Linked DNA regions of Lepisosteus oculatus. The protein of the gene in region 2 interacts with the protein of the main gene of each other region in a pairwise test. Links are inferred from orthologs where the notes say so. Each region holds a gene or a part of one and is shown on either strand. Other genes may lie near its edges. The genes, in order: atp6v1d, bbln, cep290 and thap11.

The links.
Region 1: the proteins of bbln (region 2) and atp6v1d interact in binary tests that used the Homo sapiens proteins (3 or more experiments, as listed by UniProt). The two-hybrid records come from large-scale screens. The link is inferred for Lepisosteus oculatus from reciprocal best matches to the Homo sapiens genes BBLN and ATP6V1D.
Region 3: the proteins of bbln (region 2) and cep290 interact in binary tests that used the Homo sapiens proteins (3 or more experiments, as listed by UniProt). The two-hybrid records come from large-scale screens. The link is inferred for Lepisosteus oculatus from reciprocal best matches to the Homo sapiens genes BBLN and CEP290.
Region 4: the proteins of bbln (region 2) and thap11 interact in a two-hybrid assay, tested with the Homo sapiens proteins (2 studies listed by BioGRID and IntAct). The link is inferred for Lepisosteus oculatus from reciprocal best matches to the Homo sapiens genes BBLN and THAP11.

What each region holds. Positions count from the first base shown.
Region 1 is NC_090703.1:26,162,408-26,170,177, reverse strand, and holds the start of atp6v1d (V-type proton ATPase subunit D), read left to right. Parts: upstream 1-4,754; 5' UTR 4,755-4,964; coding exon 4,965-5,005; intron 5,006-7,770. Other genes in the region: eukaryotic translation initiation factor 2 subunit 1, read right to left, coding at 1-141. UniProt on the Homo sapiens protein: Subunit of the V1 complex of vacuolar(H+)-ATPase (V-ATPase), a multisubunit enzyme composed of a peripheral complex (V1) that hydrolyzes ATP and a membrane integral complex (V0) that translocates protons.
Region 2 is NC_090719.1:12,772,837-12,780,076, reverse strand, and holds bbln (bublin coiled-coil protein), read right to left. Parts: upstream 2,685-7,240; 5' UTR 2,362-2,684; coding exon 2,292-2,361; intron 1,952-2,291; coding exon 1,761-1,951; 3' UTR 516-1,760; downstream 1-515. UniProt on the Homo sapiens protein: Essential for intermediate filament organization in intestinal cells, interacts with intermediate filament and regulates intestinal lumen morphology.
Region 3 is NC_090702.1:17,386,136-17,394,108, reverse strand, and holds the start of cep290 (centrosomal protein of 290 kDa), read right to left. Parts: upstream 3,016-7,973; 5' UTR 2,939-3,015; exon of another isoform or gene 2,932-2,938; intron 2,093-2,931; 5' UTR 2,070-2,092; coding exon 1,968-2,069; intron 1-1,967. Other genes in the region: protein O-mannosyl-transferase TMTC3, read left to right, coding at 3,323-3,427, 4,808-4,999. UniProt on the Homo sapiens protein: Involved in early and late steps in cilia formation. Its association with CCP110 is required for inhibition of primary cilia formation by CCP110.
Region 4 is NC_090715.1:3,956,031-3,963,483, reverse strand, and holds the start of thap11 (THAP domain-containing protein 11), read right to left. Parts: upstream 2,962-7,453; 5' UTR 2,841-2,961; coding exon 2,010-2,840; 3' UTR 1-2,009. Other genes in the region: uncharacterized protein cenpt, read left to right, coding at 4,775-4,875, 6,204-6,318, 7,062-7,206. UniProt on the Homo sapiens protein: Transcription factor, which has both transcriptional activation and repression activities. Also modulates chromatin accessibility.

The DNA.
Region 1 (7,770 bases), on a different chromosome or scaffold from region 2:
CAGGATCATACCCTCGATATTGTTGTACTCCAGCAGGCTGACATAGGCACCCATCTCTGCGATGGAGCGTACGTTCACCATTACCACATCCTCCACTTCCGGGAACTTGTGCTGGTAAAATCTACAGCTGAGCCCCGGCATGCTGGCAACAGAAAAGGCACATCCCATGGCATGACACACACACAGGAAAGGCAGGGAAAGACAGCTCTAGTGCATAGACTTTCAAACTAGATAACTTGTACCTTTATACACTGATGTAGGTCAGCACAAAATCGCAAGCCTTTGCTCAACAGCATACGTATTTCAGCCATACAGTGAAAAGCATAATTACTGGGACAGTGAAGTGAAATTTGTCATATATGCGAATGATTTTAAATTACTAATGAAATATGAATTTCAGATCAAAAGATTAATATAAGGTAAAGTACAGAATTCCAGTCTTTGTTTCTGGGAACACTTTTGCACACAATACTAAAAAAATGTCAGTTGTTGTGTTTAAATCCCCCATTTCAGATGAGCACAAATATTAGAACAAATGTTTCTAATTGCTCAAGTGAAGACACAAAAATTGTGAATGTATAGCCTTGGTTCTAGTCTTTGGGTGTTTACTTTTTCAGTCTGCCCCTTGAGTTAGAAACATTAATCAAGATGATGACTAGACAGTTGTCTATGATGAAAAACCAAGTAAGAAAATGAAAGCAAAGAAAATTCCAATTAGAGCCACTGCAGAGAAACTGGGCATCACAAAATCAATTATAGAATGTGCTGAAAAGGAAGAAAGTACTAGAGGTGTAAGCATTTGGCAAATACCAGGTACTTCAAGGAAGATGACAACAATTGATACAAAAATCATTAGAGCTGTAAAGAAAACCCCTACAATAACAGCCAAAGAGATTACAGACAATCTCCAGAGTGCAGAGGTGAAAGTATTTCAATTCATTGTGTTGTGACAGGAGAATTACAAGAGATAAACTGCAAGATTCAAAACTCTTAAGCCTTTTTTAGTCTTATCAGCACTAAGAACAAAAAGGCCAGGTTATAATCTGCAAAGAAGTACAAAGATGAGCCACAACAGCTCTGGAAAAAAAGTTTCATGGATAGATGAGATGAACATAAACCTCTATCAAAGTGATGGAAAGACAAAAGAGGGGAAAAGGAGAGGAACTGCACATGATCCTAAGCACACCACCTCATCAGTAAAACATACTGGAGTTAGTGTCATGGCTTTTGCATACAAGGCTACCTCCAGATCTAGCTGACTGGTCTTTCTTAAGGATATAACTAATGGTAACAGCAGAATGAATTCTGAAGTGTGTGGAAATATCTTGTCTATGTCCAAAAAATGCTCTAAAACTCAGTGGATGGCAATTCAACCTGCAACAAGACAATGGCCCAAAATATACTGCACACTTAGCCAAGGCAGTAGGGTTCATCAGGAAGAAGAAGTGGAAACTTCTGAGCTGGCAAAGCATCTCAAAGGAAAATATCAAGTCTGGTGATGTTGTTGGGTTGCAGACTTGAAGCAGTTATCACTTGTAAGGGGTAATTAACTCAAAGTTAATTTGTCTCAATACTTTTGCTGACAAAACAAATCAGGAGGGACTGACCATAAAACCATTTTTTTTAAACATGTATGCACAAAAATATCCCAATATAAAAGCTTGCATTCTGTTTAAGCTGCCTTATGTTCATCTTTAAATCTGAAATACAATTTGGAAAAGTATGCAGCAAAAGCGACACATTTTACTTCACTCTATATTTGTTATACCACAAACCTGTGAAGGATTGAACTGAGTGTTCTAAAAAGAACTGTAATTCTATGGGACTGGCTTTGTAATGAAAAACAGTGTTAAATATTATCAAATTTAAATAAGGAAATTTAATAAATTAATTAAAATCAATTTTCTTTAGATTATAGTAGTCAGTTTCTAAAGCACTGAATCATGTGTATACTACATGAACCCTGTTGCTATAGTATACTGTAAGAAAAGAAAAATAAAGCTATTAGTAGTTTTGGATGAAATCTTAGTGAAGTAGTCCAAGTCTTATTGTTCCAGAAACTATTCAGAAACAATACATCTGAAGGATTTCAATTGCTATATACGCAGACCTTATAGAAGCATTCAAAAGTGCTTTGGTTGCTCTAATTGTACATTGTGATGTTTCACATTAAAGCAGCAGGGACATCAAATAGAATTCAATTTGAAACAAAAGATCACTTACAACCAATACCAGAAACGTGTGATAATGTCTTTACGAATAGCTAAATAGCTGCAGGGGAGATGAAAACTCAGCCAAACAAAAAGTACAAATACTCTAACCACAAAATGAAATCTATCTTGAAAGATAACCACAAAATGAGATCTAATATCTAGAAAGATAAATAAAATACAGTTGCAGATACTGTGAAGATCTTGACTCCTAACTAACCATCTTGTAGCGTGATCTCATGAGATTTCAGAAGCTGATCAAGAGTTGGCCCTGATCAGTAATAGGATAGGAGACCTCCCAAACAAAACAGGTTGTGTTGGTGGATTAGAATTTGAAAACTGATGCCTCAGTATGGTGACCAAGACCACTCTGCTGTATAAGATGTATCCCTTAGATTAGATATTACACTTAGGTGTAAACTACTTGGTCATTAAAATCCCATGGCACCGGCTCTGGTGGCTTGGCTAAATTCACTTCTGGGCCTGTGCAATTCAGCCTACCTAAAGTTATCACTTAATTAATTTGATGACACAATTTCTGTTCTGTTATGGGGCTGCTGGCACATAATAGCAACCTAACATCACACAGCCAAACTCACCATGTAATATTTTCTTTTTCTGATGTGTTTTATAACTTTACTAATTTTAACACGATTTATAACTGTTTTTGCGTATCAGCCAGCTCCCAGAAAGAGTAAGACGACTATCTCGCATGAGAAGTGGTATAGGGCAGGTTTTCATGTGGTAAATACATGTGGTAATACAAGAATGGTCTGAAGAGCAAATGATTTGGGCACAAGAGCGTGCCATATAAATATATAAGAGGGGGTATTGAATAAAGCCACCACTAGTCTAGGATGACCTTTTTAATAATGGGCATTACTGCTTCAATCGCATGTCCCGAAAGACTATCGTGAAAAATTAAGGAGACTTGGGATAATCACTTCACCAGAACACGACCGACTGTGCATATTCCTGCCTTTTTCGTAAACTGAAATTTTCAGTCAATGGTGAAAGAATCGGTCAATTTCAGTTCCTGTCATTTTAATTTCCCAATACACTGAGACCACTTTACAATATCGTATATATACAGTTGAATTTTGAAGGCATGTGGCGACTTCTGCAACTCTTCTCAGAAGAATGGTATCGTTACGCACTTCTGTTAGTTTTTTATATGACTTCTTGAGTAAATCTGGCACATAAACTGCATCTTTGTAACATTTTGAGGCACTTTTCCCAAAGCAAATTACTACAACGCTCTAACGAAGACAGGTTGTGTGACCAGACCGCTGAGATTCGTAACAACATTAGATGGTGAATGACTGTCCCGAATAAACCTCTGGCCAAAAAGCTAGTTTATTATCAGCCACATCTGTATCAGTTTCTACAGTAACATCACATGTAGCAAGACTACTCTCCCCCTCCACCCAATTCATTCATTTTCTGAACCAAGGGATTAAAAAGCGACACTACCTTTATTCTTGATAGAGATCCAAACTCCGTAATGTTGAATAATTCACCTACGTTTGAGTATTTCTCCTCTCGACAAAGTTACGCAGAAAAAAATGTATTTTCTAGTTAAACGCTGAGAACGGCCTAAACCTTAAGCGCAGTTAGTTTCCTCAGCATGGACGCACAAACACGTAAACCCTGACCCGGAAAAGGAAACTATGAAAAGGGAATCGGCTTCGCAAGTTTTGTGACGGTGACACCTAGTGGAGGTGAAAGTTGCTGTTCTTATGCACGAGAATAAGAAAAGTACATCTGTTACCAAAACCTAAAATACAACAAAACTGTCTCGATGATGTAGACACATTTGTTATATAGAATATATATATATATATTTGTTTTTCTCCGTTTCAATTCTCAGGAAAATTTGTTTTTCTTTTGTCAGTGGTTGAAAGAATACACTGATGCAGACGATTACTCACACATTTATGATCGATAGAAAAAGCATATTTTTGAATTATACGAGCAAATAATTGAAATTAGCATCCAATAGTATGAAAGACCACTGGAGCTTTTCTACGTTTGAGAACTGTAGCTAACGAGCGAAAAACACAGAGCTTGAAAACCGCTCATAAACCCTCATAAAACGATTTTTTAAAATCTAAGGAATTTAGAAATTTCGTTTTTATGTTTCATTAAAAGCTTCAAGCATGGCAAAATTAATAATACAATTTTTGCGGCATTATTCGAGAAATTATTTAATTAATAAAACAAGACAAGTACTTAAAATAAATAATACTATTCAAAAGGTTTTTTTTTTATTTATGCATAAGAGATTAACAAAAATTACAATACAAACAAAAGTACATATAACAGTTCAAGACAAAAAGATCGTCAGGGGTAGATACTACTACATAAATTCAAGTTATGTAAAAAGATTAAACAAATTAAATAAAAATAATGTTTTCATATATATTTTTTTACTTTCATATTTTTGCTACTATTCAAAAGGTACAACTTCTGTCCTTCGGTTCTTACTGACATGTCGTTGGTTCTGACGTACCCAGTTTTACCTTTGACCTTCGCCACCTCTGTCACATGACGTTTACCCAGCTGATTCGCCTCTGACTGACACTGTTGACCAGGGAGATTTCCAGTTTGCTTTTTCCCGAAAGCTATTGAATAGGGAAATCATTATAAGGAAGGACGTCTTAATAAAGAACAGTTTTCCTAGGATAAATTCTATTGCAATAAAAGTATACTGAACCTAGGCAAATCAAAGACGCGTCGCTTGCATCCAACAACATGTCAGGCAAGGACAGGATCGAAATTTTCCCATCCAGAATGTGAGTATAATTATTCTTGCAACATCCAGTTCGTTTCTGCAACGCATAACGAATAATATAACAGCACAACGACAGAAGCATTCCAGACGTTATATTAAGCTTAATTTGTACATTTGTCAAATCAATTTGTTCCGAAAGTTGGAACAAATTGTTCCTGACAGGACGCAACTGCCTTTTTTGAATCGAGTGTGTAAAAAGCTTTACTTATATATTTTTAAGTTTTGTTTTTAAAGATAGATGATTATGGTGTGATATGTCCTCAATGACATATTTAATATTCTTTGAAGTTTTTAGTAATGTTACATTAATTTGACATATATTTAAAAATACATATTTACAAAAATGTGAAGCGAGTGTATAGGTAGTATATCTGTGTGTAGGGTAACGTGACTCAAAAAGTTGTTCTAAATGAGGAAGGATTATTGTGCGACAGGCCCTAGATCATGTGAGAAAGAACAGCTAATTTTTTCAACAGAGCTCTGCTCTCTCTGTGTGATGTCTGGAATTTATCTCAGTCAATACAAAACTAATATTTTCCCAGCTCAGGATGGTTTTAGAACAAGCACTGTAACGTCTGCATGTGTGTGATATTTTAAAGGTTTTTTTTTTGTCTTAGTGGTTGATGAATGTTTTTTTCCACAGAAACACACATATCATTTGCGTCGTTAGAAAAGTTTAACTCTTTATAGTGCAGGCCTTTTATTTGCTACCAAGGCAGCAGAATCTTTACTTTCTGTAGATAATTTAGCAATGCTGGGCAGTCTGGATGAAAGCATTCCAGTAATACAGTTACAGAGACGCTTTGTGTCTAGTAGTCTTAATAAAAACATAAGAGAGGGATGCTGATGAGAAGAAACCTAACAAGAAAACCTTATTTATACCTATTAGGATCTTCTAAAATTGAATAATTCTCCTCTCATTTTCCTTTGTCCTAGACTGAAAAGATTTAACCTTGAGCCTTTGAAAAATTATTGTTTCTCCATTGAACTATTTTTACATTTGTATAGATGTACAATATCATTGTTTGGTATTGTGGCCAGAACTGAACATAGTATTATAAAGTGAGTTTTTACTTGTACATTGTAAAGCATAAGCATAACTTCCCTGGAGTTAAGTTAAACACTTCTATATACTGAAGCATTCGGTTTCTTTTTATTTGATTCACCATATTGTCTTGATGAGGACATTAAAACAGAAAACAGGATGCTATGGATTCAATATGGTGAGGCCTAGTCAATTTTTTGGTTTTGAGCAATCTTAACCCCTGTTGAACCTCAGTTTCAGACATGTTAAAATTACCCTAAAACTAATGTTTTGTTTAGCAGTGGATGTGTTATTGAAATCTTTAACTGTAAAAGCTTGCATGAAATATTCATTTAGCATGGTTACTATTTCATTATCATCTTCTATTAATCCACTGTTATTTCTTAAGCTATTATAAATTATTCTTTCACTGCTGCAGTACAGGAAAAAATGCTCTACTATAATTATTTGTGTCTAGTGAAGTACAGTATTCTTTTAAGTCTACTTCTAAGCAATAGTAATACAATTTTTCAGATGTGGCTCAGTATGCTCTTTTTCCATTTTAATTTTGGTATTTTACACTGTAGAGCTCTCTCTAGAGTGCTCCTTTTTTCTTAATATCTTCTTTAAACAACTTAGGCCACATTTACATAGACATGGACTTTTTTAAGCACCAATTTGATTTTGGCCTTTAGTGTTAATAATAATAATAATAATAATAATAATAATAATTGCTTACACTTATATAGCGCTTTTCTGGACACTCCACTCAAAGTGCTTTACAGGTAATGGGGACTCCCCTCCACCACCACCAATGTGCAGCATCCACCTCGATGATGCCACGGCAGCCATAGTGCGCCAGAACGCTCACCACACATCAGGTATCAGTGGGGAGGAGAGCAGAGTAATGTAGCCAATTCATAGATGGGGATTATTAGGAGGCCATGATTGGTAAAGGCCAATGGGAAAATTTGGCCAGGATGCCGGGGTTACACCCCTACTCTTTTCGAGAAACGCCCTGGGATTTTTAATGACCACAGAGAGTCAGGACCTCGGTTTTACATCTCATCCGAAGGACGGATGATGTGTTGTGTCCTGTGTGGTGTTGAGCTAGGCCATGGTTGAAATATGCTCTATTTTACTTTGTTTTTCAGTTACTTACTAGGTAATGTGAACTAGAATACCCTAGAAAAAATACTGCTGTACTTTGACAAAAGGCCATTGCGAATCTCAATGCAACAGGCAGAATCCACATTTCCTGAACATTACTGTCCAGACTGCAGCACCACATTGTGTCCTAAGCCAAAGAGTCATGGGGACTCTACCTCTACATGAGTAATCTAACCATGGTCATTTTTGACAGTGCTGTATGTTTCCAGAATAAGTGAGTGACAGGTCTTTGTTGTTATAGTCACCCTAAAAAAATCACCCTAAGGTACCCATATACAGTGGATATAAAAAGTCTACGCACCCTTATTGAAATTACAGGTTTTTGTGGTGTAAAGCCAGAAATCAAGATAAATCATGTCAGAGAATTTTCCATATTTAATGTGACCTTGAAACCAACAAAATTCAAGAGAAAAACAAATAGATAATTATTAGGAAAAATAATTGAAATTAAAAAAACCTACAACACCCTGGTTCCATGAGTGTGCACACCATTTTATAGTGGGTGCTGTAGCTGTTCAGAGTTAACCAATCACATTCAAAATCATGTCCAAAGGTAAGTAGCATACACATGC
Region 2 (7,240 bases):
ACAAGCCAAGCTCCCAAAATGCAAAACACTATGCAGTGTGTGCATGTGTCAGTTGAGGGCTGAGAGTAAGATCTTAAGGAAACCCTGTTGAGTTCTTCACATGCTTTCCTTTGCAATTCATTATAAACACAGGGTGTTTGCTTTTTAGGGTGGTGCAGTGGTTGACATTGATGCCTTGCAGTGCTGGGGTCCTGGGTTCAATTCCAGACCTGGGGTGCTGTCTGTGTGGAGTTTGTATGTTCCCCCCAGGTCGATGTGGGTTTCTTCCAGGTGCTCTAGTTTGGTCTCACAGTCCAAAGACATTCTGGTAGGCTTCTGTGAACACTGGCCATGGTGTGAGTGTGTGTTTGTGTCTGTCTGTTCTGCGATGGACTGGCGTCCTCTCCAGGGTGTACCGTGCCACCTGCTTGCTGGGATAGATTGCAGCTCCGAAGAGGATGAAGCAGTTAGAAAACGGATGGAAGCGATATTATCACACCAATAGTTTTGGCCGAAGAGAATACCACTGCTGCCGATGGGATTTTAAAATCTTTATTGGCAAATCTTTCATATGTCCTTTAAAGTCAAACACAGCAACATGCATCAAACGTCTTTTGTACCTTCGTCCTGAATATTTACAATCCGTGGTTACTACAGAATGCAAGTAATTTCAGCAGGTAATAGATACTTCATTGATCCTGTGTGGGAAATTGCAGGATTAATGAAAGTGAAGCAAATTCTGCACTCCACTTGAATTATAAAAAAGTCTCGAGTATTGATGACCCAAAATATATATTGGTTTAATTGCTATACACTCCAATATTATAGTTCAACTGCACGTTATGTTTTATTTACACACTCAAACTACCAGGAAACAGTAACAGGTAACAATGCAGGGTCCCAAAATAAATTAATCATTAATCCGCTGCTCTGAAATACATTTCATTAATACAATAAATGGATAAGTCGAACAAATGTGAAAGTTGCAAGCTAATAATTTATTGAGATGCAACACGGCAGACGCATAGATTCAAAACCTTTAGCAGACAGGAAAGGCTCAAAACAGAAAATGAGAATTTGGCTCAGAATGCTCAGCTCGGAATTAGCAGGAACTAAATTGGTCTCGACAAAATAGTTACGCCACAAGATGACGGTGTGCAGGAGCAGCCATCTACACGCCCGACAGAACACAGAACACAGAGCTCCTCATTTGCAGACTTCCACACGATAGGATCAGATCACTTTATTGGCCATATGCAATTTCTTGTATTAGGAATTTATCTTTTCACAGACCCCAGCTTGCTCTCCATGAGACACACAGACAGGGAGAGAAGCTTGGGGTCAGAGCGCAGGGTCAGCCATTGTACGGCGCCCCTGGAGCAGTGTATTGGGGTTAAGGGCCTTGCTCAGGGGCCCAACAGAGTCGGATTCCTCTGCCGGACGCGGGGCCTCAGCGGCTGTTCACAAACAAACCACAGTCAGAACGTCACTGAAATAAGAAGGAAGGAATCGGCGAGGGTCCAAGAAGCGTACACCTGACAGCTAATCCATTTCATCTCCTGATTACATCACCACCGGTTCTGCGTTTCCTCATTCCTCATTCCTCGATGCTCGCTGCACTGCCCTGCCGCCTGATCTCCAAGCTGGCAAATGACGTAGACTACAAACTGGCAAGTGACCTCAGGATAAAGTGCTTCCCGATAGAGTCCTGAACATATTTTCCCCACCATCCTCCTTGGCCCACCCCAACGCCCCCCAGACGCTTTCCTCCTGGTCGCCCCTCACTGCTCCACGCGGTCCCCATCAGCGGGCTCCCCCGGGGGGGGCGCCACCTGCTCGCGGAACTCCTGCCTGGCCTGCCGGTTGGACTCCAGCAGGTCCTTCAGCTTGGCATTGAGCACGTCGTTGCGCTCCTCCAGGTCATCCAGGCAGGAGTTGATCTGGTCCAGCATGGAGTTAATGGCCGCGTACTCTGGAAGAGATGGCGACAGAAGCACAGTTCTGCACTGCTGGGATACACCCGGGGCTGCTCCCTAACCCTGATCCTGTTGATGCCTAGTAACTGTCCGGACAGAGTCCCTGATTCAACATCAATCTCACGCTAACCCTCGTCAACGACAATTCCGCCGGCAAGCTTAAGAAACAAGATACTATTCAATATGATTATTTAAATAACATGACACAGCAACAGAAGCGTATCGATGAGAAGAATTTTAAGCTACCGGACAGTTGTTGCCCAGCGTAAATCAACAGTGATAACTTGCGGTTATATTTTTCAAATTTGTCTTTTAAAAATCACAAAGTGCATTTACCTTCCTCGCTGAACTCGTCGTCTTCGCCCACTTCGATGGAAACACTTGGATCTCCATTTGGTCCGGACATGATCTTTGTGGATCACAAAAACGGGTTTACCACCTCGAACAGGACAGCTTGTTTTGGCGAGCCTAATTTAGATCACAATACCCTTCACTGAACAGGTCAGATTAGAGTGCAGCGTACATATATAGGACAGCTACAGAATGCAATCAATGCCTTCAGACACAGCGCTAGGTCTATAAACAAGTGAAAAGTACTGCCATACAGCTAGAAACCCAAACTCAGAATATCGCCATTTATCATAACCCGGTTATTTTAAAAAGCAGAACGAATGATCGGCTCAGCTGATGTTCACGAGTAAGGACACTAGGGTGTCCAACGATAACGCCTTAATCGTACATGAGTTAAGTTTTGTAGTGCACAATTCTTTTAAATATAATGAATAAAAAGGAAAAAAAAATATTTAAGTGCATTTACTGAAATAATTGTATGTAACAAAAATCTTCACCGCCATTTTTTAAAAACATTTGTTAAAGGCATCTTGTGAGCTACTTCACACGGGGTCCTTCAGTCAAAGACCCTGCGGGTGTTGTTGTATGTTCGGATAGTAGTTCAGTCTTGCAAGAAAAACAGACTTCTTACAGCGATACCCATATCTGGGTATTATCCAGTTTTAACAAAAGGTTCCTTCATGAAAAACTCGCTCATTCTGCTATTTAGTCTGTGTTGTTTCGCCATGCATTTTCCAGAAGTTTGCCAGCAAGATATTTAAAAAGTGCTTTTGAGATTATGTATGACGAAAGCCGTAAAAACAGTGATTATTAAGCAGTACATTTTGTGGACAAATCTACTGCACATTCATTTTTGTGCAGTGTATGTGTAGCATATTACGTTGCACAAATCTATTTTTTTCTAGGTACATATCAGACAACTTAAAAACCCGATGAACAGGATTAAGATTTTATGAATATTACGAATTGAATATTATGAATTTACTGTACGTGTATACAAAAAAATCCCACATGCATACACAAAAGTCTCATTATAAGACACTTTAGTTTTGTATGGACCTCACGATGTCAATAGCTTTAACAATAGCTTGTGTATTTTTTCTTTTCTATTGTAGACGATACTTTATCCAAAAGCAGGGTTGTAAAATAAAGTTGGATATTAACGCGCCGTTGTTCTCGTAATAAGACTGCGCCACGATAAAAAAAAAAAACAGGTCTTTCACTGAGGTCTTCCAGTACAATACAAACTGAGCCCATCGTGTTCAAATGAGCAGACAAATGTCCGTGCTACACTGTCATGGAATAGCTACTGCATGAAGGATTTAGGTTACATAATGCTGTCGTGGACACACAACTGAGTACGCACAATGCAAATACTGAAAATTATACATACTGCAAAGAACTTGCTGCTGCCTTTAAAAAAAAAACGCAGTTAACTTACAAAAACAACAAGGCCTCCCTGATGCAACACAATGTAAATGAAAAAAATATATATTTTTCGTGCCAGCAGCCTACAGCAGAGCGGTGTCTTATCTACAATGCCTAACGTCTTGTCCAGCGAGGCACCCCAGTTTACGGCTCTTGGGAAAGTGTGTGTGTGTGTGTTGGGGGTGTGCGTCTTTCACAGCCACAATAGTGGAGACGGACACGGTGTGAGCGCTCAGGCTTTAGGAAAGCCGGTGCCTCTGGGCTCTGAAATCGCCGTTTTCCACTCTTCCCCTCGGCGGAGGGGGCTGACGTCAGCCGAGGTGAGATTCCTGGGATTCTTTCGAGACAAAAGGTCTCTCCAGTGCTCCTACAACGGCGACAGACCAGCTTCCCAGCCGTGCGCTGAAGACGTCCCCTGTCCGAAAGTCATACTCCACGGCTGTTTCAAAACTGGGAAATCGGAGAGCCGTAAATAGGACGGACTTCTCGACAGAAGCATTGTGGTGCCCGCTGAAGCTTTAGGAAACCCGCACGGTCCCGGGGTTGTTGTTTTTTTTTTTTTACAGTCTCCTTAGAAGTGTAAGTGAATTGTTTTCTGCTGTTCCGCTAAATACTGGACTACAAAAGCGCCAGTTTGTCATGCAAGTTATCAATTTGATCTCCTTCAAAGCTATCCTTCCCCCTACCTCGATAGGGTTTCTCGGCTGGAGACTACCAAAAGTTTTAACTCCATGCTAATTGTTCCTAATGTCGAGTAAGATGACTGTACAAATGTTGTTTACACAGACGGGCTCGGTATGTCCTGTACTTCGTTTAGGTTCCTATTAAATTCCATTATATATTTGCCTTTCTTTTTCTCTATTGAGATTCATAGAGGATCACCTGATCGCTGCCGATATAATGATAATGGCATAGTAGTGACTTGTTTTTCTTTTTAGCCTGACACGAACTTAAGCGCCAGGTAAATGTTGAGCGGCTATGAGGCAATTTACTGTAGCTAATAACTGTAAAGAAGCTTGCATGTGATTGTAAATAAAATAAAATGGTCCGACACCTGTTTTTTTGGGGGGGGATAACGGTAGAGTTTCTAATTGGTATCGAATCGGCTACTACTAATTGAGACGACGTGAAACTGTATATATTTTGAAAAGTTAAAAAAAAATCGGGGCCCCCAATGAAGTTGCTCTGGGTTCAGGTACATTTCCTACACAATCAGCCCGTGTAGTGCGGCTTTCTGACATGCCACAAAATCGGGCAGCCTCAGCACCGAGGAAATATCGACCTCAGCTGCAGAACACCGAGCAACTTTCATCCCCACCCCCAACACCGGCTCTGGCGGCGATTATGGCTTGTGCATGCCGCAGGGTCTGACGTGGACGCTCACGCCGTAGTCGTATATTTTCACTCTTGAGGGGAGAGGCAGTTGCAACTGACGCGGCGATGCGCCTCTTGGTTTTTTGCGCAGGCCGGAGCCCGCGGCGCGTCCGTCCCCGCCAGGCGAGGCGGCGATGTCTGCGAGAGAAGGGCCGAAGGCGGCGGAAAGCCCGGAGCTCATGGAGGCTCTGGAGGGTCGCCTCCGGGAGCAGGTGGACCGGCTGGAGCACCTGCGGCTCTCCGCCACCGAGCTGAAGGAAAACATGGCGGCGGTACGACACTTGTCCGCTCCGGGGTTTGAACCCAAACGCCTTCATCACCTGCGGTCAGCCTCAACCCTAATTTTTTCCTAGCCCTAATTCTTGACCTAACCTTGGTCTAAACCTTCCAGACTAGAGGGTAAAGGCAGCCAGCGCCCTGAAAAAGTGGATGTTTCTGGGAGAGTATTTAAATAAGTGGACCTGCAAACTCCCACACACATTCAAGATCAGAACACGTAACAGTAGGGATGGGTGGCCCAGGTCCTGCAGGTTTTAATTCCAGCATGGGTCTTAATGAGCTAAACCGCTGAATGGCTGGCCTCATTGGACCAATTGAACATCTTCTCCCAGTTAGGTGCTGTGCCTCTAAAGGTCACCTTGACAACTTGCCCTCTGGGACCAGGTCTGAACTCCCCCTGCTGGTTCCTGGACAGCACCTGACTCCTTCCTCAGTCTCCAACCTTGGGATCACTAGACTGTGGGGTTACGAGTCAACAATGCACTAAAGCATATTGGGGTCTTTCTTTTTGGAACTTTTTCAGTCTCTGGGGGGGCCAAGCTTTTCCTGCTCAGCAGGAGAAGGTGGCTTCTGGGTAAAAAAAAACAGCTCTCTGCAGTTAATGAAAGAAAACATCCTTTTTAGTATGCGGAGGTCCATGATCTCTCATTGGTTTTAGCCAAGGACATCTTGGGTGGAATGCGGGTGGTGACCCACAGTTCTAGTTTTCATAGCAGCTGGTCTCTTTGAATCGAGTCTTTAATTGAGCCAATTGATCTCCCCAAGTGGACCCTTTTCCAGTTCCTCAAAACCCAGGAGGTTTCAAAGAAACAACAGAACACTGTAAGTTTAGGACCTGTAATTGACTGAAAAGGCCTGAGTAATGACATAACTATGTCAGTTAAGGGATCAGCTATATAACTGGGTTCTCTGGAATACATACCAGGGAATCAGATTGGATCCCAGTGACATAACTGGAACTGCATGTAAAGACTGCAGGAATTGTGGACACTGGATACTCCTAGCATTGATCCCTAGGTATCCGAATGTCTATTATCTCTTTTCCATAGTAAGAAGTTTGCCAGTGATTAAACTTCATTATGAAACTGGTGGTGTTACTTGTTATTTGTTCAATTCCAGCAAAACAACATCGACCTGAAGATGTCCATCGCTGACCATCTGGATTGGCTGGCCCGACTTAGCGAGCGAATGGAGACTCTGCAGATGAGCACAGCTGTGTTTGTACAGGTGAGAAGGCAGATCAAAAGTGGCAGATTCAAAGGGGCATTTCTGAGAAGACTGTGACTGCTTCCCTTAAATTGAGAAACGTTCGATACCGTGCCTCATGACATACATGTGATCTGGCGTGTGTCCTTGCAGTGGGATCCATAATTCTATTCCCCAGACCACATCTGCATGAGCCATTATACATAGTTTGTTGTGTTTTAAAATTTGACAGATTTATCCATTCAAAACCATTGTAAGAATTGTAGGTACAAAGTCCAATAAATCCTACCCAATGCATTGCTTTTAAATTGGGATTTAATAAGATATTTTTGTTTTTGGCATCCCACCCAGTGTGTACCCATTAAGCTGCTATAAAGTGAATGAGCTCAGTTTTAGTCTTTCTGCAGGCATCTATTGAAAGAAAGTATGTCCACTAGGCTGGCAGGCTTAAATTAGGACGTCTTTGTCCTGCTGAGGAGCACCTCTTTCTGTCGTAATCGTACTCAAGAGATTGTCCTTTTTATTCCCAGATGAACACCAAGCCTCGCACCTGGGGCAGCACGCAGGGTTCCAAGCGCTATGGACGCAGGCCCAGGCCACCGTTCGGCGACGATGCCCAGTCTGAGTTTGGCTGGTCTCCCGCGCGC
Region 3 (7,973 bases), on a different chromosome or scaffold from region 2:
GTGAGAATATCATCTTCACCAGCATCCATGAAACAACAACATCTTCAAATTTTGGAACCTTCAGATACAAGCCAGACTTAACATAGGCATGATTAAAGTTATAGTAATCAGTAGTGTGGAGGCTGAAAAAAAGATTGAAGTTGATTAAACAGAACTTTAAAAGTCAACAGCTATGTCTATCATCGTCAAATCAACACACATAAATACCTTAAGGGGAAAATGAAAAGCTGAGACAAGATGAGATGGAGTATATTACAAAAGGAAAAGTACAATACTGAAAGAAAATGTTGCCATTAGTCACAGGGGAAAAGCCTTCAAGCCATCAGTTATTAAAAGCAAAAATCAGAAACTATGAATTCCAAAACAGCACAAATACTTGTGACTGGTAAAACAAGAGAAGACAGAAATAGATGTATCAGTGAGCAATGAACACTATTTAAAAAGTGAAAACATTAACATAGTAATAAGTCATTCGAACTGCAAGAAGAATAGAGCAGTGAGGGATTAAATGGGCAAAGTTCCCAAGAGACAGAGAAATGACTGGGAAAAATAGGTCAAAAGCTTTGCTGAAGTAAGCTGGAAAAAGAAAATGGGAAAAAAAGGACATGCAAGGGAATCTTCGGGACACCAACATCCAGTGGTGGGTATGGAAAGACTAGACATTAATGGAAAGAAAATAAAATCCACAAAAAAGAAACAAATGGTTTCTAATAGTCTGATTTAACAATTTCAATGTACAAGCAATTAATAAAGTCTGTTTTTTCCTCACTGTTTGCATTTAAGTGATTAAAAATGAAATCATAATAAGCTAACCCTGATAACTGCAACACGTTTACAGAGGTCACAAGAAGATTATCTTTTTATGCAGACCTTTTATTGAACTGACAAGCCAAAGGTAAATCTATTATTCTCTTTCACATTTTTTCATCAACAGAGTCGATCAACTAGTTTTCTACTATGAAAGTTACAAACACTTAGCAGGGCCTTTCATAAGAAACTGCAACACAAAATGTATATACAGTAACAAATTGTATTAATTGTATTGACACAACAGACAGATATTGAATAGGGCTTAAGTCCGTTAAGTATGGTAGCCTTGGTACAAACATCCAACAATGACTTTGCAAGAATTCAGATCATACACGAGCAGCCTAAGGACACGCATTATCCTGCTGGAATGTTGTTCTGTCAGGATGTTAATGTAATGCTGTGGGGTCAGGCTGCCATCTACCTCTACAATTTGAGTTCTGTAGTGACTTGAAACTCCTACCCTGACCATTATATCAACACATCCACACTGATTTGTCTGTTGTACACAAAAAATATAGACCCGTTTCACAAATCTGCACCACACTCATTGACAACCATCAGGGTGGTCCAAAGTAACCTTGAATCTTTCTAAAGAGGACTTGGCTACACAGCTGGACAGTCCTCTTAAGGTGACCTAGTCCAACCTACAATATACCAGAGGCGCAAAGACACTGTGGTCTTGGTAAACAAGCAAAGTTATTCCTTTCTGGTATTTCACCAGATTTAAATTACCTTATCATCTGTGCCCCGTCAGTTTCTATTTTAATATTTTTTACAACTGAGATGATTTAGTGCTCATGTAACAGTCAAAGTCACTTGAGTATATTACAAATGTGAATAAAAAATAATCAAAAAGATGCAAATAACATTGTATATTTTAACATTAACGGTGTATATTTTATTTACACAGATGCATATAAATCTATACATTTCTTTTGATGATCAGTACTGTATATATATTACACTTTTATTAATGATGGCAATTTTAGAATATTAGAAATTAAATACAGTACTATAATTAGATTCAAATTTAAATTGTCTTGTATAGATAAACTTAAAAGTGGTGTTAGTGGCTTCCTGTACTATTTTCAGTCAATAAATGTCTCTTGAAAGTGACAAAATTCACGAGTATATATATATAACAAGAAGAACAATACCTGTGAAATGAAATCCAAAAGTTTTTGGGCCAGGCTCTCCTGATCTGTTAAGGCATCTGGATCGACATCCATCAGTTCACCCCAGTCAATTTTTAAAGGCATCTTAAAAGCTGTGTGGTTCCAATCTAGGAAAACATGTTTGTATTTTAAGCTATATCAAAACAACAGTAGCAAAAGTAACCGCTTAAAGGTTTGTAAAAACGAATCCCCTAAAGGTATGTAGATATCTCAAAAGAGCAGGAATGCTAGTTTTATTATGAAATGGACATTTGTGGTTGCACGTTGCAGGAAAAAAAAAAGGTACATGGAAACCTATTTGGAGGGTTATATGAATGATCGTTTTTATAATCTTCTCAGCACACAATAATTAATCCATGCAACATCCAATACTGTGCATCATGATTTTATGAACTCCTGTCATGCAGCCTTCACTATAGGTACTGTAAATTATGTATCGCTTAATAAAAAAGCAGTCCGGTTTATAACAGTAACGAACAGTACCTAACAGGAGGAACAGAATGCACTTAAACATAAAAGACTAAAAAGTCCACTGCTCAAGGGGTTCAATAGCAGGGATGTATCTACTGTATCTAGTTCCCGTTATGTACTCAATAAACAAGCTGATCATCATAACCCATTCCAAGTCAGAAGCAACCCCATAAAGATTAAAAGGTATTGTGGGTGGTAGACATAAAGTTGAAAAGGGTCAGAAAACAGGAAAGCATATTAGAATTTGTGATTTATTAATCATTTTACTAAGAGAAATTTCCCATATGCAACCACGAAACCGTAGCACGACTATTGTTATCAAAACCTGCATGATTTTCAAAAGCAATGCAAGGTAAAAACAATATAATTTATTACTCAAGCCTTCCGACTTTACTAACGACAGGTGTTAAGATACAGTACACTCGCTTCTTTTTCATGAATACAAAATCAAACATCTTTAATTTAAAGTTTAAACCTCATACTATGTCTCCCAGAATATGTTGTGCTGCGATGCTTTCTGTTGCTGCTAGGCTACCACTTCAAACAGTCGAAAATCCAGCACCGCTTTACGGCAGGGAGACGCAAAAATTGCAGTAAAGTTTAAATTAATTCCTGACCGTCCCCCCAGAGCAGCGATTTGAAGTTCTTAGAGAGGAAAAAGAAAAATAACAGAGAAGGAGAGTCTTGAAAAATTCTCAGACAACGTTGTCTTTATTTCTAATCTTACTTAGGGTACGAAACGACAGGGTGAACTTACACAAATGAAAAAAAATAAATAAAAGGGAAATATCTTTGAACCAGACGCTTATGGAGGGGAAATACGTGTAGACTCAAATTCTTCCAATCGTTGCTCAGGTGACGTCAGGATGAGCCAATCATGGTTTGGGAGACGGTTGGTCTGGGACTCTCATGGATTCTCATGCGAAACCCAGTATAAGGAGCATTGCAATGTAATTCAACGCGAATTATATGTATGTATATTTAATGTTATAACGTAAGGGACATCAGTGGAAGCATTTCTTTTATTATTTGCATTAATTTGATATAATTTCCTGTGGGGAGTTAAAACAATTATTCAAAATCTTAAAACAATTGCGTTAATTTCATACTACATTTACTGATAAAAGATTTTTCCCTGCATTATAACTGCATTATTTTACTGTCTGTTAACAAGTCGAAAAGCAAGTAATGACTGAAATACAGGAAATTAAAGAAAGCTTTCTAATATAAACATTCCTCGTTTTTAATTTCAGGCCGCTCCTTTAAGAATCCCCCGTTTCCGCCCCGGAAATGAAGGAAGAAATATGTTACCTGTAGTAACATATTGAACAGGAATGCTATGTACAGTTAAATAAAATAGTGTGTTTCGTTATAGTTTAGCGTCGAGCATGACAAAGCGGTAAGGATGTGATGAATGCCGCTGTAGTCGTAGAGTTTTTGAAGTGTTTGAGAAATAGAAAAAAAAGCTTAGTGTTTTTCCCTAGAATTTCTTCAGTAAGTACAGCTTTTATTCACGTTAGAGAAGTCCGTCGGCCTCATATAACACATTTTGCCTACTACGAAATATAATCTAATACAGCGGCGGTTGTCATTCGTAGGTAGAAATGGTTTAATTATATAAGTTTGTGTAGTATTTTTTTTTTAATTTTGCGATTGTTAAGCATCCGCTGCGAATACATATTGAATAAATCAATGCAAGGCATTCAATACGCGGTCCCTTGATAGATTAGTGACTTCTTAAAAATAAATATTTATATACTTTTAAAATTTCAAAACCTATATTTCAGAAAATGTGGTCATTTAGATTTTTCTCAGTTATTTAATACTTATAATGAATACTCAGCGACCTTTTGTTAAAATACGAGGGTTCCTGATTAATTGATTACGCAAACTAGGATATTCTGGACATGTTTTAATGTTTTCGTTTAGAGAGACTTTGATGGACTACTGTAGCTTTTAGGCTGATACTGTACAATATTCTCTTTGTTAGAAAAACAAAAACATTGAGAACATTTAAAAATACTTTTAGTGTCGGATTTGTGTTAGCCAGACTCTCTTGGAGCCTACAGGTTTTATGGGTGGTATGGAAAGGAGCAGAATACAATTGGCGTTGGCAGACATAACATGCTACCATGTGCTGACAATTTAGTTTTTTCTTCACAGACTCCCATGGCCTAGTTCACACCCTCCAAAGCATTTAATCTCTGCCAGTGGCTATCAGTTAACTTTTTTTTATTCTATTATAATGTCAATGCATTATTTGTTTTATTGGAAAGAGAATGTTGTGAATTGAAATCTTATCTGTTGGGTTGTATTGGTTGTTTTGCAGTAACCAATGAACTTTTTGGTAGATGATGGCTGCAATGACTTGGAAGGAAATTGCACTGTTGGCCGGAGTAGTTGTGGCCTGTTACTGGAACAGCCTGTTCTGCGGATTTGTCTTTGACGATGTCTCCGCTATTCTGGATAACAAGGACCTGCGGCCCACAACTCCACTCCAAAATCTTTTTCTCAATGACTTTTGGGGAACTCCTATGTCAGAGGTAGGTCACTTATAAGTTCTCCAAGAATTTTGCCCTCACATATTTACCATTATAGTAAGTTTTGCTTTGATCGTGCTTCTCAGATTTTTACCAAGCTCCAAAACCTAAAATCCAAAACCCTGGTTTGGTGGAAGTAAATATGGAAATCTTAAAATAGTGGTTTCTGAGACATCTTAGTGTATAAAACTGAACCTACAAACATTATATGCACTCTGCACTTCAAAAATGTTTGGTTTATGTTTCATTTAAACTGAAATTAATTTCCTTACAGAATAGATTAAATTTAAGAGTGTCTTTTCCAATTGAGCTTTCAAAACGTATATTAAAACAGTATTTGAAAACTTTCTTTCAATACTGTTGTAGTACATTTGGGTTGGAGATTTAGATTAGTGAAATTCAATTCCTCTGACTTTTGCAGATTTTTGAAAGTTGTAAGACGTATTGATTCAATATACTTCTTTAATTCATTAACATGCATTTTGTTTTGGTTCAAAATTGTAGTTATTATTTTGATAATCAAAGCTTCAAGGGCACATTATGACCTTTTTGTTTAATGTGCAAACCAACAGACTCTCACTTTTCATTCCTAAAAAGGATATGTTAGGCTATGTTAATTTAAATTCTAAAATGCATTTTTTAAAATGTTTTTTAACCTGTCCCCCCTACCCGCACTCTTCAAATTGTGAATTGTCCTCATGAAAGCAACGCTCAGAAGGGATTAAATGAAGAGCACAAAGCTTCCTACATGTGCGTTCTGGCAATCTGGTTATTTCACACTGCAGGCTAACGCAAATTACAAGCTGGGGTACCTGCGTGTCCAAGTTAAATGTAGATTGTAATGATGCTGCAGAATTTAGCCATGTCTCCATTTGAGTTTCCATTAGCATGCCTTTTGTTTTGATGATGAAAACCAACCCATAAAACAACCCAACTACTATACATGTACAGTATTTTCAGTCAACAGAAAACAGTTTTTTCATCATATCACATTTTTCATGGAATAGTCCCTTTCTTTGCTGTAAAAATATATCACTGTACTTAATTTGTGTACTTAATTCAGTTACAGTTTGCTCTTCTTTTAATGCGGGTCCATGTCAATGTGCATGTCAGCTTTTAGCAGATTCATTATTTATATACTAAAACATGGAAGGTCTTAAGATTACTTAAAGAGAGTTTAAATTGAAGTAGAGTGTATGCTTGGTTATATGGGTGTGATTTGTGACATTAAGATAACATTATTTTATCCTAACCATAAAAATGCTATATTGCAGATTTGCATACTCATATATTGGCTCGTTGAGGTTTTAGTTTATTGCATGTGTTTGGGGGCTGCAGTTAAAGACCTTGTTACATATGCAGTGCATTTACTGAAACCCCTATCATGTAAGCTTATCTGTCAGTTTTTCAAAGAAAAACATTCAATTTGTGTGTTTCAGTAGGAATAGAAGAATAAAGTACAAACCACTTTGATTGTATCAATATGTGTTATCTTACCGTGGTTGTAACTCCAGGTAAACATGAGGTTAAGATGTTTGTTCTATATCTTAGGGACCAGTAAAATATCACAGAAGGTAAAAATAGACAAATGCTTGTAAACAGCTTTACTACCTATACTACAGAGAGGCATTTCATATACTGTAGTCTTAAGTACTGGAATGACTTACCCAGATAAAACAATTCTAAAACGATCAAAGCAGTCCAAAACCAAGAAAAAATTGAAATGAACTCATTAAAAAACTGATGAAGATGTCCACAATTGATTAATTCTGGCTCCGTAATGGTTATTTCGTAAACAAAACTGTTTTAGGTTAGTACTTTGATTAAAGGTGTCTCAGCCTAGTATTTTCTTTTTGCATGTGAATGGGTTTGAATTAATTTCTGTTTAGTGCATCTTGCAAAATCTTTTTTTTCTCTAATCCAAATCAGATATTGAACAAGCTTGGGGTTTTGGTACCTAGCCACATGTTTTCTGGGAGTCAGGAAACAAAGAGATTTCTTTGATGTCCAATTTTGCCATATAAAGTCTTGAAGGGTTTTAAGCTACATTCTTTTGGCACTAAATTAAAATGAGAGAAATTAAGAGTTGAGCTCATGTGTCTTTTGTGATGTCTTGTGCTGAACCCAAAGGTGTTGATGCATACAATCAGTCATCACTGAGCCATGACACTTTCGTTGCATGACTGAAACTGTAAAGCCTGTTTCTCTTATTGTAAGCTCATTGCTTTGCACATGCAAATGCATAAGCTTGCTTTTTGTACATTGCATGCAGCCACCATTTATTTAAGTTGGTTTTTAGGAGATAACGCTAAGAGTTTGAGTGATTTTAGATGTGCAAAAACAGTACATAAACTCTTAACATGTTCAAGAAGCATATCTCAGAATTTCATATTATATACGACAATGCATATTTGAGTAAAAATACATTTTTTAGACTATGCCTCTAGAAAATCCACACTCAGTTAGGATCATTTGTGAGAAAGGCGCAGTGGGTTGATTATGTATGCATACTGGAATTGACCAGCCACAGGAGCAGTAGTCAATTCAAAGTTCAAGCTGGGGCTTTCCCATTTATATAGTCAAGCAGGTACACAAAAGCATTTCCTGAGGAGTGATACCACTCCACTGGAGTAGTTAACATATTTGTGCAATAAGGCATTCAGCAAAGATATCACAGGACAAAGACTGCTTATTTACAACTCCAGATATCCACTCCCCACTAGTCCTTGAACATTATTTTTAAGTCCAGCACAATTTCAGCTCCGCAAATCTTATCTGACAACTTCTGTTGGCAATTTCTCTGCCCACAATATGCTCTTAACCCTTTCCTTCATGCCTAAGTCTGTTCAGACCGGTTAAATCTTATTTTTTTTAAAGTATCATAAACCCTTTAGAAATTATAAGGTTTATGTTAACAGCAAGTGCCTAATTAGTTGTGGGGTAGCCTAATTTTACAGCTGAGTGCTTTAAAAGAGAA
Region 4 (7,453 bases), on a different chromosome or scaffold from region 2:
CTGGTGTTATCACGTCAAGAGCACGTTTTCAAAAAGCAACGCTTGCTCTGCTGCAGGGGTGACAATATAGGTACACACCCCAAATGCCGTTTCCAGTACTTTCGGTTATCCCTATCCAAACCGGGAAGGGATTCTTTCCAATCTGCACCTCCTACCCCATCCCCTCCACAAACAGTGTCTTCGAACAGTACAGATTCATCCGAACTCCTGCCCGGATTCGGCTTGCGAATTGTAGCTCAGTTCGATTTGCAACAATGCAAAGACGCTTCTAATTCTGGAAGCCTATCACAGATCACGACTGTTTTTTTAACACAAATCTCTACAACGCACACACACTCAGGAGGGCAGCGTTACCAAAGTACACAGTGCGTAACATTTTGAGGAAGTGTAAAATAGACACTTTTGTTGACCAAACTCATCTTTCTTGTAGATGACAGCTAAACCTTACAGATTTTATTATTGCCCACCTGCTCCTTTCACTACCAAAGTCCTACAATGGTTCAACACACAAGGGTTTCCCCCCCACAAACTGTGATTACCAAACTACAGGAAAATAAGATCACAGACTATAGCTCCTACTCTTAAAAACAGTTGGATGAGGTTTGTAACTGAGCAACAGAACTATTAGCACTCAAGACAAGAGAGCAGTTCAGGATTTTAGCAGTGGTACTTGACTTTGTTATTACATATACCTACTGTAAATGGGAGAACAATCAGTCCTTGTAATGAAACTAAACTTTACGCATTCAAAAATGAACCGAGCTTACTTTTTGTTAGCAGTTATTTTATCAGGGGTAGCCGGGCCCCTGGTTCTGCAGAGCCACAGTGCAACAGGGTTTATGGGTCACCCTTCAACCTGTGGTTCCTAAATGTTTGGAACAATTTTGTTCTGACCATTTAAGCGGGGGGTCTGTCAGATGAAGTAGGTCACAGGTCATTTGAAATTAAAAATATCTTGTAACTCTCAAGGATCAAGGCTGTCCAGTCCTGATTTAAATGAACTGATGGATTGACTACATTGATCAGAACAACTCACGTCTAGTATTTACACATTGGTGATTAAAGGATGACCTCAAACACTTGCTGGATTGTGGATCTTCACCACCCATGCGTATACAACGTTTTTTGGGGGACATTAAAATCGTGCCGTTTGAAAGACACGGGGGGGATTAATTTACCTTTGTATAAAAAGTGAAAACATTCTCACCAAAAGCCGCATTTAGACCACATCTTATCAGTCACGCATTAGTGCAATTGCGAAGGCTACTAAACCACTTCTTGAGAAAGGAATAAAACTTTGAAATGTATATGATGGCTACACAACTAGCCTCTCGACATGAGTACCACCCATCACCACTCAAACTATTAGGCCAATCCGTGGTCTAAGAACGACTGGACTCGGCTACACGCTAGGCACATCATTTAATTAATGCTCCACGTCTTGTGAAAGACAGCAAAATGTTAACAGACAAAAAAAAACACAGAACGAGTCGATATTTCGGCGCAAGCACGGCTCCCTCCTGTGTGATTATGCGTGCTTTACCGCACCCCCGAATCTCTCTGCGTGTCTCCCAGTTCGCTTATCTGCCTTGAGAAAACTCGTAAGCTTTTCAGTTCGCGTCTTATTAAAGAGCCTCTTGTTTCTCCGGATTACGATGAGATAAAGCGTCTAACCTAGAAGCGTGTAAACGAAGCGATCGGCTGTTTCGATGGAGTCAGGTGATCTGCTGCGCTCATGCTTACTACTGTCCTTCAAACGCGTTACACCTATTTAACATTAGCAAAGAACTTTTTTAAAAAGAAAAAAAATGTAAAGTATTTTTCAGCTATGAAAATTTTTTTGTACAAAAAGGTTCACTCAACTTTTTTTTTTTTTCATTTTTGGGGGATCCCTTATAAAAGAAGGTATGTTTTTTTGTTTTCCCATAAAAGTTTGTGTTCCGTTTGTTATTTCAACGCGTGTTCGTCGTTTTGGTTTCTTTCTCTCCTTCAGTCTCGATGCAGGCGTTTTACATGCCGTGTTTCTTTCGTATCACCGCCATGGAGAGCATCCTGTCCCTGTCTCTCACTTCTTCCCGGAGTTTCGCCTCGGTGATTTTCAGCTGTCGGATCGTGGACTTCATCTCCTTCATTTTGACCTCCATCAGCGCTATGATGTCCCTCTGCTCGTTCAGTTTCTTCAGCAGCTCCGCGGACGTGGTGCCGGACGACAGCGAGTACGAGTGGTCGGTCGCCCCGAGGGTGGCGAGCTCTCCCTTGGACAGCTGGTGGGCGGCTGGAGCGGCGGCAGGCAGCGGGTGGTCGCAGCCCGTCTGGGCTAAGGAGCTGGCCGCGACCACGGCGACGCACGACCCGTCGGCTTGCACGGTCAGGTCAATGGGCTTCACCTCCAGCGACAGCGGCTCCCGCCGCCCCGCCTCGCCGGCGCTCTCGGCGCTGCAGCTGCTGACTTCCTCGGAGGCGAAGGCGCCCAGGGCGCAGGACGCGGAGGTCGCATCGACGTTGGCAGCGACCGCGGCGACGACAGCGGGGTACGCGGCGGCGGACACCTTCTTGTTCCTGCCTCTCCGGGTCTTCCTCTCGTTGACGCCCCGCAGCGGGAACAGGGTCGGCACCCGAATGCTGTAGGTCTTCCTGCCGCCGGGGAAGTGGATGCTGCACACCCGGTGGCCGGTGGTGGGCTGGAAGGTGCTGAAGCAGCCGCTCACCCCGGCCCGGGAGATGTTCTTCAGCCAAATCTCTCTCTGCACGGGATCCTTGGGGAAGGTGTAGAATCTCAGCTCCCGATCCCGGTGCGAGTTGTTGTAGCAGCCGGGGACGCAGCAGGTGAATCCAGGCATGCTTATTTGGAAGCCTAGCCAATATTTGTGTAATCCTCCCAAAGTTTTTTCTCGGATTTTAGTTTTGTTTTGCTCCTCCGCGCGCTGTTATCGAGCCCAGCAGCTCCAGAGCGGAACTACAGATCCCACAATGCTAACTACTTCCTGTTTTGCTGCCGAGAGCACTTGGCGATTGAAAGAAGTGGTTTTTTTTTTTTTGGAGTGGGGGCGGACGCTTTTTGGGGTTTTTTTCGTCGTTATTGAAAAAACATAAATTCACCGTTCGTTAAAAGAAGCTCTGTTTTAAGTAATGATAACATAAACTAATGCGAAGCTCTCGAGAAAACGCGTGCGCTCTCTCGTTTATTCCCTTCAAAATGCACTTGACAGGTTGAAAGGACAAAGCAATTAAAGATGTAAAAAAAATTGTTTAAAAATGGACGAAGAGCTATAAAGTTGTCAAGCTGTCATTATATTGAAGTGAAATTACAGGCAGGGGTATCCAACCGAATTAACCTAATCACGCTTGACAGGCCGCCTGTTGCAGTAAAAGTCTCAGGATGAAATCAGGTTTTCTCGATGTTGAAAGTCAGCAGCCAGGATCGTGGAAACACCATTGAAAATACTGAAGTATTTTGAGATAAATCAATGAAATCGAACACTTTTAACTGCGTTGTTAAAAAGCGAGGTGGTGGAACATTCTGTTTCGCCGAAACTTTCTCACTGAAAAATACTTGTTTATGGAGCTAATAAGCATTTATAACAATTGATCAGGTAACAATATTATGCGGTTTGATAAAAAAGACGAGCTTTTATGGTTATTAAAATGCTAAAGACAGCCTTCTCTCCTACGAGGGGAACGTGAAATCTGTTCCTAGATTTGTATCATAGTAAGAATTCCAGCTGGTGCAGTTTAACTGTCGCTGTAAATGGTCTAATTAAGCACAGAACATTTTTATTACACTACTCTTGTCATACACTAGAATGAAGTTTTTTTAAACTGTTTACACGGATCCCCTAATAAGTTAAAAGAAGGAAAACAGAAACAATTCAACTTCACGGACTGAATTTTGAACCTAAAAATCGTTAGTCCCCCAGAATATCATGAAATGACAAAGACCAATGGATATATAGTTTACATTTTTTATTAATTCTGGTTTGAACTGTAAAATGAAAAACATTCCTGAATGTTTATGAGGAATTGCTGATAGGCATGATACATCATGATGATACATCATGCAGAATCTATCTCGGCATTGCTGCCCAAAACTACAATTCCCACCATGCTTTTCATCGAGCGTGGGGCGATGGCTAACTTCCGCTGGCGAGCTATCGCGGGGGTAGATTTGAATAAACCGGCGGGAGTACAAATGCGAGCTGCAACAGAATTCAAAATAAACTTTTAGCTGACGAACGAATTAATGCACATATATAATAGGCGTAATATATTTCAAATTGTAACGAATGTAAAGATATATCAAATGGTTGACGCGCACCGTAAAATCTGCTGTTTTTAAATCGGGAGCTGCGCAGTATTTAAAAATAAGGTGAGTATTTTACAGTATTTTGAATACAGTATCCTGTGCTCATTTCAAACGATTAGTTTTATGTCATCCATTAAATAGTTTTTTATAAGAAATCATGAATATCTACTTACAAATCTTCCGGCTTTGTGCATGAAGAAATGTATGAATATTTAAACGTACCGGACGTTGTATAGCTCTATTATTGTGCCATATTGCTTTAGATGCCAATAAAAAAAACGAATAGAAGGTTATTGTTAACTTACAGTGTGTAATATTTTGTATTATCGTTGTAGTACAACACGTTCTTGCTTTTTTTCCCACTAAGCGACTTGCTTGCTTTTGTCTGCTCGAGTTTTTCTTCCTTGCTGTCCGTCTGGTGTTGTTTCTGAAGGTATCTGTGCGTTTTTGCTTCCCTCAGGCAGGCTCGCCATGGATACCCCGGAGGCTGACCTCACCACTCGGACGCTGCTGAAGAAGGTCCTGCGCACAGAGCCCACCCGGTCTCCTGTCCTCTCCCAGGCCACAAGCAGGTAATAATAATAATAATTGCTTACGCTTCTATAGCGCTTTTCTGGACACTCCACTCAAAGCACTTTACAGGTAATGGGGACCCCTCCACCACCACCAGTGTGCAGCCCCACCTGGGTGATGTGATGGCAGCCACAGTGCACCAATTTGCTCACCACACATCAGCTATCAATGGGGAGGAGAGCAGAGTGATGAAGCCAGCTCAGAGATGGGGATTATTGGGAGGCTGTGATTAAGGCCAGGGAGAAATTTGGCCAGGACGCTTATCCAGGTATTGACCAGGCTCACACCTGCTGACCTTCAGTGGGTTACCAGTTGTGAGTTGCAGGGTGATCTGGCCGCTGGTAAACGTGAAATACAGATTCAGCGCCGCCACCATGAGCATATGATGTCAGGTCAGTTTTATTTTTTTTTAAACAAAGTTCCCAGCTCAGTACTCTTTAGATGAGGTGGCCAGTGGTACCGGTTTGCTGTGACTTGAGGATCTGTCCTCTGTGCTGTTCCATCCATCCATTTCCTAACCTCTCCTACCAGTTCAGGGTCACAGGGGAGCTGGAGCCGATCCTGGCCAGCAGCGGGCACAAGGCGGGGTACAGCCTGGAGAGGACGCCCGTCCGTTGCAGGGCACGCACAGACACCAAATCAGGCACACTCGCGCTAGGTCCGGTTTTCCCAGAAGCCAATTAACCTACCAGTCTGTCTCTGGACTGTGGGAGGAAACAGGAGCATGCAAACTACACACAGACAGCACCCCAGGAACTGAACCCAGGGCCCCAGTGCTGTGAGGCAGAAACACTAACCACTGCACCACTGTTGCCTCTGTACGGTTCCCAAGACAGGAAAGTAGTGTTTTAAACCTGCAGCGATGTCTCCCTCATTAATTGAGCCTCAGCATTTATTGCATGAGATAATAATAATAATAATAATAATAATAATAATTGCTTACACTTATATAGCTCTTTTCTGGAAACTCCACTCAAAGCGCTTTACAGGTAATGGGGACTCCCCTCCACCACCACCAATGTGCAGCCCCACCTTGATGATGCGACAGCAGCCATAGTGCGCCAGAACGCTCACCACACATCAGCTATCAGTGGGGAGGAGAGCAGAGTAATGTAGCCAATTCATAGAGGGGGATTATTAGGAGGCCATGATTGATAAGGGCCTATTGGAAATTTGGCCAGGACACCGGGGTGGCCATAATCCACCCAGGGGAAGCCCAGCAGTGCAGGGGAATGCTTCCCCAGGGCCCTGCAGTGTCCTTCTCCAGTCAAACGCCCAGAGTGGTCAAGCGCTTTTTAAAGGGTTGTCTTTTCTATCCTGTTTTCAGTGCCGATCCCCTGTCCTTCGGGACCAGGAGGAGTGCCAGACTGCGGAAGAGCGACGCTGGTGGCTCCACCCCACGCTTGGCTCTGCGAAACAAGCTCAGGAGAAGCCTCCACGAGGTGACGGTTAAAACTGTGCAGCACTGTTCAGAACGAGAAGGTTTGCTGTCCAGCGGGTGTTTCATAGTGAATCAAAATTGTGTTCACACCGGTCCTGGTCCTTGATTTAACCAGATGAGGCATTTACAGTGTTCTCAGAAGAGGAGGTGTTTACAGGAAGAGGAGAGCGATCCTACTCGGCAGGGCAATCAGAGCACTGTACCTTGCTCAGGGGTGCCGCAGTAGTCTTGTATTAGGGATACACACCCAAACCTCCCTGTTTTGGAGTCCAGCATGACTTGAGGCCATCACTAGGCCATCAGTGTGGTGTAGTGGTCAAGATTCTGGGCTCTAAGCAGGAAGGTTGTGGGTTTAAATCCCACGTGAGACGCTGCTGTTGGGGGGATTCTGCTTTAGAGGGGTTCTGTCATAATTCCCATGGATGGTTTCTTCACACACTGGCTCCTCAGCCAAGCACATATTCACCCAAATCGTTCCAGTAACATAGCCAGCTGTATTAATGGTGCTTATGTAAGTCACTTTGGATAACAGTGTCAGGCAAATAATTGAGTAGCTGTAGTAGACTTCATAGGTGTCTAACCTATTTATTTGAAGTAATACAATTTAAATTGACTAATTTATTACAGGTGTGAATATTCAGATATTAGTAGCCGAAGTGATAGCTTAATCATTGCAACCTCAAAATCCCATCCACAGTGTTTTACACTAGTTGTTGTCAAATTAATTCCTTTCTGTTTTTCCAGAATGTTACTAAAGGATCTACCCAGTCCCACAGAAAGAGACCGCCGGCTGTGCACACCCATGAGCTCAGCCCTGTGATGCTGCCAGGCCATGACTCTCTGGGTGATATAACACCCAGAGTTTTGCTCAGGAAGATCATTCAAACTGGTACATCCCGTCACCCACACCAGAGCTACCCACCTGCTTCCAAAGAGAAGAAATAAGCTGCACACTGAATACCAGTTAAACCTCCGTTTATGGCAAATTCTCCAGTGGCGGTGTTTTCAGTATATTTTCTGATAAAATAAACTATGTGTTTTGCAGGGCAGTTGTAATATTTGTAGTTTCATATCAAAGCTTTGCAATATTACATGTGAATTGGGCTTGATCTCTTGCGCTGTGGGAGCAATAAAGA